Linked DNA regions of Arabidopsis thaliana. The protein of the gene in region 2 interacts with the protein of the main gene of each other region in a pairwise test. Each region holds a gene or a part of one and is shown on either strand. Other genes may lie near its edges.

What was found.
Region 1: the proteins of AT2G34140 (region 2) and WRKY3 interact in a two-hybrid assay, tested with the Arabidopsis thaliana proteins (one large-scale study listed by BioGRID).

What each region holds. Positions count from the first base shown.
Region 1 is NC_003071.7:1,013,850-1,019,753, reverse strand, and holds WRKY3 (WRKY DNA-binding protein 3), read left to right. Parts: upstream 1-2,531; 5' UTR 2,532-2,817; coding exon 2,818-3,273; intron 3,274-3,759; coding exon 3,760-4,445; intron 4,446-4,548; coding exon 4,549-4,710; intron 4,711-4,792; coding exon 4,793-5,030; 3' UTR 5,031-5,404; downstream 5,405-5,904. Other genes in the region: AT2G03350 (DUF538 family protein (Protein of unknown function, DUF538)), read left to right, coding at 1-21; AT2G03330 (uncharacterized protein), read right to left, coding at 5,632-5,904. UniProt on the Arabidopsis thaliana protein: Transcription factor. Interacts specifically with the W box (5'-(T)TGAC[CT]-3'), a frequently occurring elicitor-responsive cis-acting element.
Region 2 is NC_003071.7:14,412,306-14,417,424, reverse strand, and holds AT2G34140 (Dof-type zinc finger DNA-binding family protein), read left to right. Parts: upstream 1-2,636; 5' UTR 2,637-2,724; coding exon 2,725-3,237; 3' UTR 3,238-3,731; downstream 3,732-5,119. UniProt on the Arabidopsis thaliana protein: Transcription factor that binds specifically to a 5'-AA[AG]G-3' consensus core sequence. Transcriptional repressor of 'CONSTANS' expression. Regulates a photoperiodic flowering response.

The DNA of each region.
Region 1 (5,904 bases), about 13 Mb from region 2:
AAAGTCATTGGAGAGTTCTAAGGATTTTTTTCACAATTGGTTATTATCATATTTGATTCATGAATTTATTTGGGGTTATTTGCATTTTGGGAAGAGGTATACTTAAAGGAAATGTGTTTATATAACTCTCATTTTCCTCCTTTATATGCAAGAAATCACAAATCTTTATCAAGCCATAGTACCGCTAAATATTACTTTGATAATGATTTTTAATCGGTAGTACCATAACAACAATATCAAACCATTGTATAGAGTATTGTTTGGTTTCTTGAATTGGTGGTAATAAGGTTCCACATGTTAACCGTAAAAGATATTGTTTGTACCAACAATGGGTCTCAAGATGCCATCACCATGGCCTAGGTAAATTGTGATAAACGTGGAGGTGACAATTTTATCAACCTTTAAGTACATAATTTTATGTGATGATCTTCTTCTTCTTTTTATTTTAGCTCCCCCTAGATTGAGCTGGCCCAAACGGCCAGACCTAAACAATATTTGTGGCTCATTTTTACTCAAGATTTTTGTTAACCGAAAAAAGAAAAGCTTTAAATCATAAGATTCTTTTTTGTGCACCCAATTCATAAGATTTAAACCACTGATTTTCAAATAAATATTTGGAAACTTAAAAACAATATCTTTTAAGTGATCTTACCGAGCTCAAACTTCACTTTTGCTGATGGTTTAGCAAACTAAGCGTTTTCTTTATCGCTTAATTTTCATTCGTTTGTTGTTTACCGTATATTGTTAAGCCGGTTTTGTTGGAGGATACTAATGGGCACACAAACTCCAGAAATGTCCGATTGTAATTTTCTACATTTTTTATTTGAATAAAACATAGGGGGCAACTGCCTTCTATCATTCACCAAAAAAAAATTCACTCTTGCTTTGCTTTATGTTCGGCTAAATATGAAACTCACACAAAATCTATCAGTCCTTTTTATTGTCGTCATACTCCTTTCTTTTTTTCTATAATTGTTTTTAATAGAAATGTGCTGGGCCGGCCCTGCAGGCTAGATTTTAAAACATGAAGCTTTGTACTAAGAATCTGATTTTGCACTATTACACGATTTACTCCTTTCGTATATTCTCTCTATTTTTTTACATATTCGATTTACACCTTTGTTTCCGTTTCTATGTTTTATAGTGATTTTTTTTTTTTTTTTTTCACATGTTTTATAGTGATTTTTTATAAAATATTTGCTTGGCTTTCTCGATGTGATAAGTGAAAGACGCGATTCGTTGTGGCAATGAATGAAAAGGGCCCCATTTGGGTCCTACAGATATTAAGGATGTATTGTCTCTTTGGCCCGTTTTCAAAGTTACTTGGGCCCTCCATAAAGTCAAGTTGTGTTTTCATTTTTTGTTTACTCCATCTTCTCACGTTTCCTCTTTCACCATTTTACCAAAAAAAGTTACTTATTATTTACCAAATCAATAAACTCCATAAAATCATGACGAGAAAAAAATATAATCCATAAATTGTTTCATTTAGGACATAAAACAGCTCTTGTGAGTTACGATTAGGCTTAAATCGACCATAACTTCCGATTCATTTTATGTATACGTGGCGAAATGCAATTTGTAGAACGTGGTGAAGACAAATTGGTTATAACCCGTCGAGTCGTGCTTAGAGCTGCTGGTTGACTTGCGAGGCACAAACCATCGTTGTCTCAAGGGACATAATTGTAATATAACACATTAAACCGACGCTTTTTATAAACTACTTTCCCTTATTAGCCAATCATAACTCAACGATTACTACAAAAATAGACGAAATAAGACATAATGAATAAATAAATATGAGAAATAAAAAAGGAAATCTGTTAGATCCTTGTCTTCAATAAACCACTATATACTTCCAAAAAAGTTATTATAGCTTATGCATTTGTTTTTGGGTTAATTCGCTAAAAAAATCAAACATTTGAAGTTTTGATGTTTTTTATTCTGTCTTAAATTTATTATTTATTATAAAATATGAGAATTGTTATATAGACGATTTTATTATAGACAATTCCTTCTGACTCTCTTTAGATCCACGACAAACGTTACCTTTTTCTCATTTTCTATGATTTTGATGAACACTTTCAATGATTTTCCCTGCGTAAAATCTTGACGAATGACTATAATTGTACATCGTTGGAGATCTCCTGCATACTTGTCTCTATTAATCTATCGAAGTTTTGAAATTTTAAAGTTTGTGTATAAAATGATACGGTAAAAAATTATAACTAAAATGAATAATTGATTTTGTGCATATTTTACAAATAATATGATATCATGTTATTGTATTTTATTACATGTTATTTTGCAAAGAAATCTCTATATTTTAATTATCTTCCAAATTAACTTAAATGTTTTATGATTTTTTTTTTGTTTAATTTCTTATGTAAGCAACCAATGCAAATTTAAATTCATGAAATACTTTACTTTCTTTTGTAGCATTCATTACGATGTGTCATTTTTTTTGAAAATCAAAAATTAATAAGAAAAATAAAATGGATAAAATGAAAAAGACAGAGAGTTTTTACTCTATCATATCTGCACCGCAGACTTTATACTGTAAACAAAATTTTATTCATATTTTTCGAGATCTGCTTGAAGAGACAAACACAAGAAAATCACAAAAAAAATCTCTCCCATTAAAAGACTGCACAAAGAAATATTTTATACAAAATGAAAGAGAGAAACACGACACGAATTTTGTATAATTAAGATTACACAAAAAAAAGTGTTAGAAAGAGAAATATCTTCTTCTTTTTTCTGTGTGAGTTGGGTTTGTTAAAGTTTTATCCTTTTTGTTCTCAAAATCAAGAATCGATGGCGGAGAAGGAAGAAAAAGAACCATCGAAGTTAAAATCATCCACCGGAGTTTCACGGCCAACGATTTCACTACCTCCTCGACCGTTTGGTGAAATGTTTTTTAGCGGTGGCGTTGGATTTAGTCCTGGACCAATGACTCTCGTCTCAAATTTATTCTCTGATCCTGATGAGTTCAAGTCTTTCTCTCAGCTTTTAGCTGGAGCTATGGCTTCTCCGGCGGCAGCTGCTGTTGCCGCCGCTGCTGTGGTTGCTACTGCTCATCATCAGACACCTGTGAGCTCTGTCGGTGATGGCGGTGGAAGCGGTGGTGATGTTGACCCGAGGTTTAAGCAGAGTAGACCAACGGGATTGATGATAACTCAACCACCGGGGATGTTTACTGTACCGCCGGGGTTAAGTCCGGCTACTCTTTTGGATTCTCCGAGCTTCTTTGGTCTTTTTTCACCTCTTCAGGTGTGAAATTCGTTAACAACTAAAAAAACTCAAAGCTTTGTTTTTTTTTGCTCATTGTTTGTTCGAAACTCTGTTTTTGGTAAATGAAAGTTTTGTTTGGATATTTTGTTGCTGTTTCTGGTTTTTGTTTTCTTTCGGTTTATGTCTTTATGGATGCAAATCCAAACCATTTTGCTGGATAGAGTAAGAGAAACAAAAAACAAAAACAAATGTTCTTCATTTTTAGGTCAAAATTGGGAAGTTTTGACTTTGAGACATTATGGATGCTTTTTTGGGTATCTGAATCTTTGAATGGAAGAATTTAGAAAGTAGGAATCTTTCAGACAAAGAACAATGTCAATGTCAAAGAGAGAAACAGAGTTGTCGTTTAGAACTCATTAGTATTGTTTCTTTTCTAAATGTTGAATCTTTAAATGTATTTGCTTGGAATTTGTTACCTTGTCTTTTGGGCTATTAGCTGATAATAGAAATGTGAATTATGTGTAGGGAACATTTGGTATGACACATCAACAAGCTTTAGCACAAGTCACTGCACAAGCAGTTCAAGGCAATAATGTTCATATGCAGCAATCACAACAATCTGAATATCCTTCTTCTACACAACAACAACAACAACAACAACAACAAGCTTCATTGACTGAGATTCCATCATTTTCTTCTGCACCTAGGTCTCAGATTCGAGCCTCGGTTCAAGAAACATCGCAGGGTCAGAGAGAGACTTCGGAAATATCTGTCTTTGAGCATCGGTCACAGCCTCAAAATGCTGACAAACCAGCTGATGATGGATACAACTGGCGGAAATATGGGCAGAAGCAAGTGAAGGGGAGCGATTTTCCTCGGAGTTATTACAAATGTACGCATCCAGCTTGTCCTGTCAAGAAGAAAGTGGAGAGGTCACTCGATGGACAAGTAACGGAAATCATCTACAAGGGTCAACACAATCATGAGCTTCCTCAAAAGCGCGGTAACAATAACGGGAGTTGTAAAAGTTCTGATATTGCAAATCAGTTTCAAACAAGTAATAGCAGTCTCAACAAGAGTAAGAGGGACCAGGAAACAAGCCAAGTTACAACAACAGAGCAGATGTCTGAAGCAAGTGATAGCGAGGAGGTTGGGAATGCAGAGACTAGTGTGGGAGAAAGACATGAGGATGAGCCTGATCCCAAGCGAAGGTAAATAAGAAAAACTCATGAGACTTTACTGTTCCTCTTACATTCATCTCTTGTGTGGTTTTGGTTATTCTGATGAGATTTAAACAATCTTTGAATGTTGCAGAAATACAGAAGTTCGGGTTTCAGAACCAGTTGCTTCATCGCATAGAACTGTGACAGAGCCTAGGATTATTGTCCAAACGACGAGTGAAGTTGACCTCTTAGATGATGGATATAGGTGGCGCAAGTATGGTCAGAAAGTAGTCAAAGGAAATCCTTATCCGAGGTAAGACTAAAACCTGGTCATCTAGTTCAAGATAGTCATTGGTCTTTCTTGTTTCCTTAATGCTCTTTGATCTAATCCACAGGAGCTACTATAAGTGTACAACACCAGATTGCGGAGTAAGGAAACATGTAGAGAGAGCAGCAACTGACCCAAAAGCTGTTGTAACAACATATGAAGGTAAACATAACCATGATGTTCCAGCTGCTAGAACCAGCAGCCATCAGTTAAGACCAAACAATCAACACAACACCTCAACGGTTAACTTCAATCATCAACAGCCTGTTGCACGTTTAAGGCTTAAAGAAGAGCAAATCACTTGACAGAGAAGAAGAATACGACGGCGCTTGAGCTTTTGTGAGTTTAATGAATCTTCTTTTTGGTTAATGAACCTGTTTTTGTTGCCTCAAAACACCACAGGTTTCTCTGGACAGAATCTCTGATATTACAGTTTCAAAAGGTATGTTCTTTTATTTCATGTTGGAATCTTCTGTGTAATCTTAAGAAGCTTTAGGAGGTAATGTAAAAAACCAGATTCAAAGTTATGCCCTTATGTGAATTCTTTTGTACATGGGATAAACAAAATTTACAGGTATCCTTTTTGTTCTTGTTGTAATAGGTTACATTTGTGGATGTATGTTTCTTTTAGTCATTTGTATCACAATGTCTATACAAATGAAACCTTTCACCGAAGATTAACAATGCTTCTAGTGGGATTCTGAGTAATCTAACCTTAGCTAAATTAATAAGAAATATGCCAATTCTGATTCAGATTACAGCAGTTTGCAAGTCTCAAGAACAGTAAAGAAGACCAATATACAAGGGTTACAAACTTGCATTATCATACAAGAAGACAAGTTTTTCAAACACTACCTTAAAACATAACAACAAGACCTTAAACTCATCATCATCATCATCATTTGATCAGATGTTGTTGTAAGCTACAGAGACCAAGTGAGGAACTTTACCATCATCAAAAGGCAAGCTAACATATTCTCTAGCAAACTCTTCAGCTATCTCCCCAACAAGCTCACCATGAACAGCTTTACAATACATATACATCACAGTAGTCGCCACAAGATTATACAACATCAATAGCGTTAGCAACGCGGACGTGATCCAATTCTGTACAAAAAAGAAAGAACCTTTCCACGACTTCCCACCATTCTCATTATCGTTGAGCAGAGCATAGGCGGC
Region 2 (5,119 bases):
TTATTATTTTATTATTTTATGTACACCGTGAATATCATGTACACTATCGTTGTTTTATTTTTAAATATTATTGTCGTATACTATTATTTTATATTATTTTTGTACATTATCAAATTCAGATAAAACATGAGTGTGTTTGGTTTCAATGACTTAAGAAAATATGAGTTTTAATTAATGTCAAGCCCATGAACAATTCCAAAATTGGAGATGATATTGGGTTGCTTTTAATCAGGCCATTTTATTTCATCAAAACAACAGAAGGGTAAAATTGTACTTTACTAAAAGCTGTATTAGAAGGAGAGTTCTATTAGAGAGGAGAGATAAAACTACCTATTCCTCCTATTTCTAAAAAAAGTGTCTACTTCTCAAATTATTTTTGCAAATTACTCTCCAACTTATCTCTTTCAATAATCGTGAAATCTTCATTAAGTGTAAAAGTGATACATGATTAAGCTTAAATACAAGTAAACTAAACCAAAACTACTAACCAAACTTAACCACAACTAAACCAAGTATATACACTCTAATAGAATGTGTACGTTCGTTAAAGAACGGTCATGGCATATTTGTATTGGATGTTACTTAAATTTGGTAAATTTGAAAAGAAAAGCATTATCGGTAAAGCTGAAATCACTAAGATTTTTCTTTTTATTAATTTACAATAGACTATCCTTTTTCCATACCATGTAAAAGTGGTTCCTTTATGACTAGAAAGATACCAATGAAAATTCATACTACAATTTAAAGGGGAGATGAACATGAAATTAAACTCAAAGAAAGAAAAAGAGAGATGAACATCGATCAATGCTCTCTTTTTTACTTTCTTTCCTTTTTGTTAAAAACAATGTTCTCTTTTTTTTCTTTTACTTTTCTTCCTTCTTTTCTCCTTTCATTTCTAACACTTTCCTTAGTTTTACTTTTATATTTTATATACGTCAACCAAATATGGGATTAGGTTAATTGAAAGTGGCATATTTTCAGAAAAGTACTTTGCTTTGCTTTATCTTTCCTCAATGTTCCATTCAAAAGACTCCGTCTTTCAATCGAATATCAACGCATGAGAAAATTATGATCCATTTTGAACTTCACTGACGAGCCGGATCATACTAGGACTGGACTTATGGTCGTTGATACTTGAGTGAGATTATAGCTGAGATGGTCAATCCATCGACACTAGATTGGATCATTAATTGATCAGACTTAGCTCATTCGTCCGACCCACTTTACCATTTATATATAGTTTCAATCTGGCCACTTTGCGACAAGACATGGTGTATAAGATATTAGTAATTAAATTTAAAACAATTCGAATACTTATGAGAAGGCTACCGTGAAGAGGACCCACAAGAAGTCTTTAGAGCTGACAAAAGGAAGAAATATGAAATATGAGTAACGATGTCTCTGTCTCAAAAGCTCATACTCCTTTCTCTTTTCCTCTTTTTAACACTGACTTATTACCAAACATTTCTTTTTTTGACGGCTATGTCTTAAAAGTTAGATCACATCTAAAATATATATATACAGTATATAGTTCATCCATTCTAAATTCTAAAGATAAATATTTCAATCTTGATTTCCAAAAAAAAACGATGAGGTCAATCCTAAAGATCAGTATTAATTGGGGGTTTAAACACATACACACGCACAAATCCATCCAAATGTTCTTTGAAAAGAAAATATGTATGGGCCGGGGCAAGACTCCTAGGTATCTAGAGAGTTGCATTTCAAACCTAATGATAATAGATTATTTAAAGTTTTAGAAAAATGGAACTCGTGACTCGTGCACTGAGAAATCATTATCAAATTCGTAAAATATTAGAGAGCAAAAAGTCTGAACAAGACATTTTCCTTTTCATGAGTTACTGCCTTGTTCGTTTTGGATATTTCCTCCGTTTTATAATATAAGTTGTTATAGACCAAATTTTTTGTTTCACACTATAAATTGTTTTCAAGTTTTTATGCAAGTTATATATTACTTTAATACTTTATGATTATTTATATTTTACAGTCTCTTTTATGATTGGCTGAACTTTTTAAAAGTTAATATGCTTAATATGTGTGTTTTTAGCTAAAACAACTTATATTGTGAAACGGAGAGAATATTATTTTTTAGTATCTGTTTCATATTTTTATATCTAGATACTAGTTAATCAAAAAAAAGATCTATAATTTCGACAACCCTGAAATTCTAATTCGTTAATAATCCATGAACATAGACTCAAATTCGGATGTGAATAGATGGATCATGTTTATAGAATCTCTTTCAAGTAAATTTAATCTTATTTTAGTTGGATCACGTTCAAGCATCCACTAGCTTGTCTAAAATTGTTACGAAATAATTAATGTGTATTCATTTATTCTATAGAGTAAGTGGACGAAAAAAAGGGAAAACGTGTATGGTTTTACAGTAACTACTTACGAATTGCACTTTTCAAATAATTAGCTTTTTAAAGAAAGCTTTGTAGCTTGATCCGCATTGGCATTCGTGTTTTACGTGTAGATGTGAATTCAAGACCCAAAAGTAAAGCGATGAATGCGCCTATTACTACATGCTTTAAAAAGTTTTTAACAAATAAATATTTTAATCTCCACTAATTCAGTCACTTTTCTTCTCCAATTCCTGCTAAAAAGTTATACTATCATCTTTCTATAAAAAGACGTCTTCTCTATTTCTTACCCCCAACAAACTTTGGATAAGCTATTTTCCATTCTCTGCACGTTTTCATGGCGACTCAAGATTCTCAAGGGATTAAACTCTTTGGCAAAACTATTGCATTTAACACTCGAACAATAAAAAATGAAGAAGAGACACACCCGCCGGAGCAAGAAGCCACAATAGCCGTTAGATCATCATCATCATCGGATCTGACGGCCGAGAAGCGTCCGGATAAGATCATAGCATGTCCAAGATGCAAGAGCATGGAGACAAAGTTCTGTTACTTCAACAACTACAACGTTAATCAGCCTCGACACTTTTGTAAAGGCTGCCACCGTTACTGGACCGCCGGTGGTGCACTCCGGAACGTTCCCGTCGGCGCCGGTCGTCGGAAGTCCAAACCACCTGGTCGTGTCGTGGTTGGTATGCTTGGAGATGGAAATGGTGTTCGCCAAGTCGAGCTTATAAATGGCTTGCTCGTTGAGGAGTGGCAGCATGCCGCAGCCGCAGCTCACGGTAGTTTCCGGCATGATTTTCCCATGAAGCGGCTCCGGTGTTACTCCGACGGTCAATCGTGCTGATTATAATTATTTACTCTCTTTTTTAAAAAATAATTTGTTTTGGTTTTGGGGTTGAGTGGTTTTCCTCTAAACCCGTTGAAGAACGTGGTGAATTTGGTTGCTATTGGGTACATACAGGCTGGCAAAGTAGTTAATTTGTCATTTGTCAATCAATCGAATCCAATTACTACTTTAATTTACTACTCTCTATACAAGAGGATTCTTTTTAAACAATTTAATTAATATTATCGACCTAGGATTCGTATGCATTAGTATAGTGGCGTGTGTAATAAATTTTGATAGATTTGTCATTTGTGTTTAGAATTCCATATGGTTAACAAGATTTCTCCAATTACTTGTTGGAATACCTTATATAAGTCGGTTGTTGTGTTATTCCATATTTGTAATAGTCTTTTTTTAGATTGTGGATTAATGTTTTGGCATTCATGTGAAAGAGACTTGTTGTTATTTGCCATTTTCATTAATGTTTTAAGCATAAAAATGGTTAATAGATCAAACCTATATATATATATATATAAGATGAAACCTAATTACTTATTTCTTATATTTAAATACACTAAATCAATAGTCACTTTTCAATAACTGCAACTTATTACTTCCTACAAAAAGCCTCCACCTCTCGCTTCCTTTCTTCTCTGATTCAGTTTTCCTGCAACTTTTATGGACTATTTATTTTTTGAAGTTTCTGTATAGATTCACTGACATGGGCCAAAGGCAAAGGTAAATTACTGGTTGCATTTATATATGTTCATTGATTCTAAGTGCCGATGTATCCGGTTAGATTTTGATTATGTTTTGGGTGATTCTGTTTTTTTTTCTCTTAAGTTAATTCTGTTGATTTTATGTTTCCTTTCTTGATAGATCTATTGATGGGAGACTACGATTTCTCTTTTACAGTGCCCTCGGTGTGGTACGTATCATTTCGATAAAATCTTTTTCCTATTATCATTTTTATTTGATCTAAATGGAGTATCAACGAGTATTATTTTGAGATTCTATCAATCATTGTATTTTGTAATATTATTCTTTGTCGTCGTTTGCAATTAGTAGCTAATATTTACCACAAAAAGTTATGCAACAATGCATATGTTTAGGTTATTTCTTTACCTTTTTATTTTTTACAGGAATTCCTTACTTTCAAAAGAACTAACAATAAATCCAAATATTCAGATTGTAGAATTTCACAAGAAAAACTAGATTGAAGGAACAATTTAGATTATATAATGTGACTGGACTTGGCAATGGAACAAATAAAATGTTTGAATTCATTTTATTCAGTAAATATAAGAACCAACAATACAAAAGTCAATAAAATACATAATTCATCTGGTGCAACAACATCTTCCCGTTTTAGGCCCTGGAACACAGTTTCCATCATCATACCCTTTCGTTATACAGTCATGGAAGCATTCAAAACGTTCGTAATACCCTGGACTACATCGAGCAAAGCAGTCTCGCCCTACACATATATATCAAACAAAAAATCTTATAAAAACATGTAATACACTACTACTTTTTTTTCACTAGAAATAAATATTTCACTAAAATTCACTAAAGGATTACAACGGTGGATTACATATGTCGGGAAAGGAAATAACCCTTCCAAAAACTAAGCCGGCGAGTGAATAAAATTTTTGGAGACAAAGACGGAGAAACAAAGAGAAAAACACCAAGAACAAAGTTTGATCCAAAACTTTCCCACAGCCTCAAAAATAAAAATTACACAGTCGAGTATTCTCTAATACACATACATATATTTTGGGAAAACATATTCTCTCACTACAAGAAAACAGTCGTTTTGTGAGGGAAGAATTACTCGTTAATCCCTCGCAAACAGCTACACGCAACAGATTTGCGAGGAAAACGAGTTCCTTGCAAATCG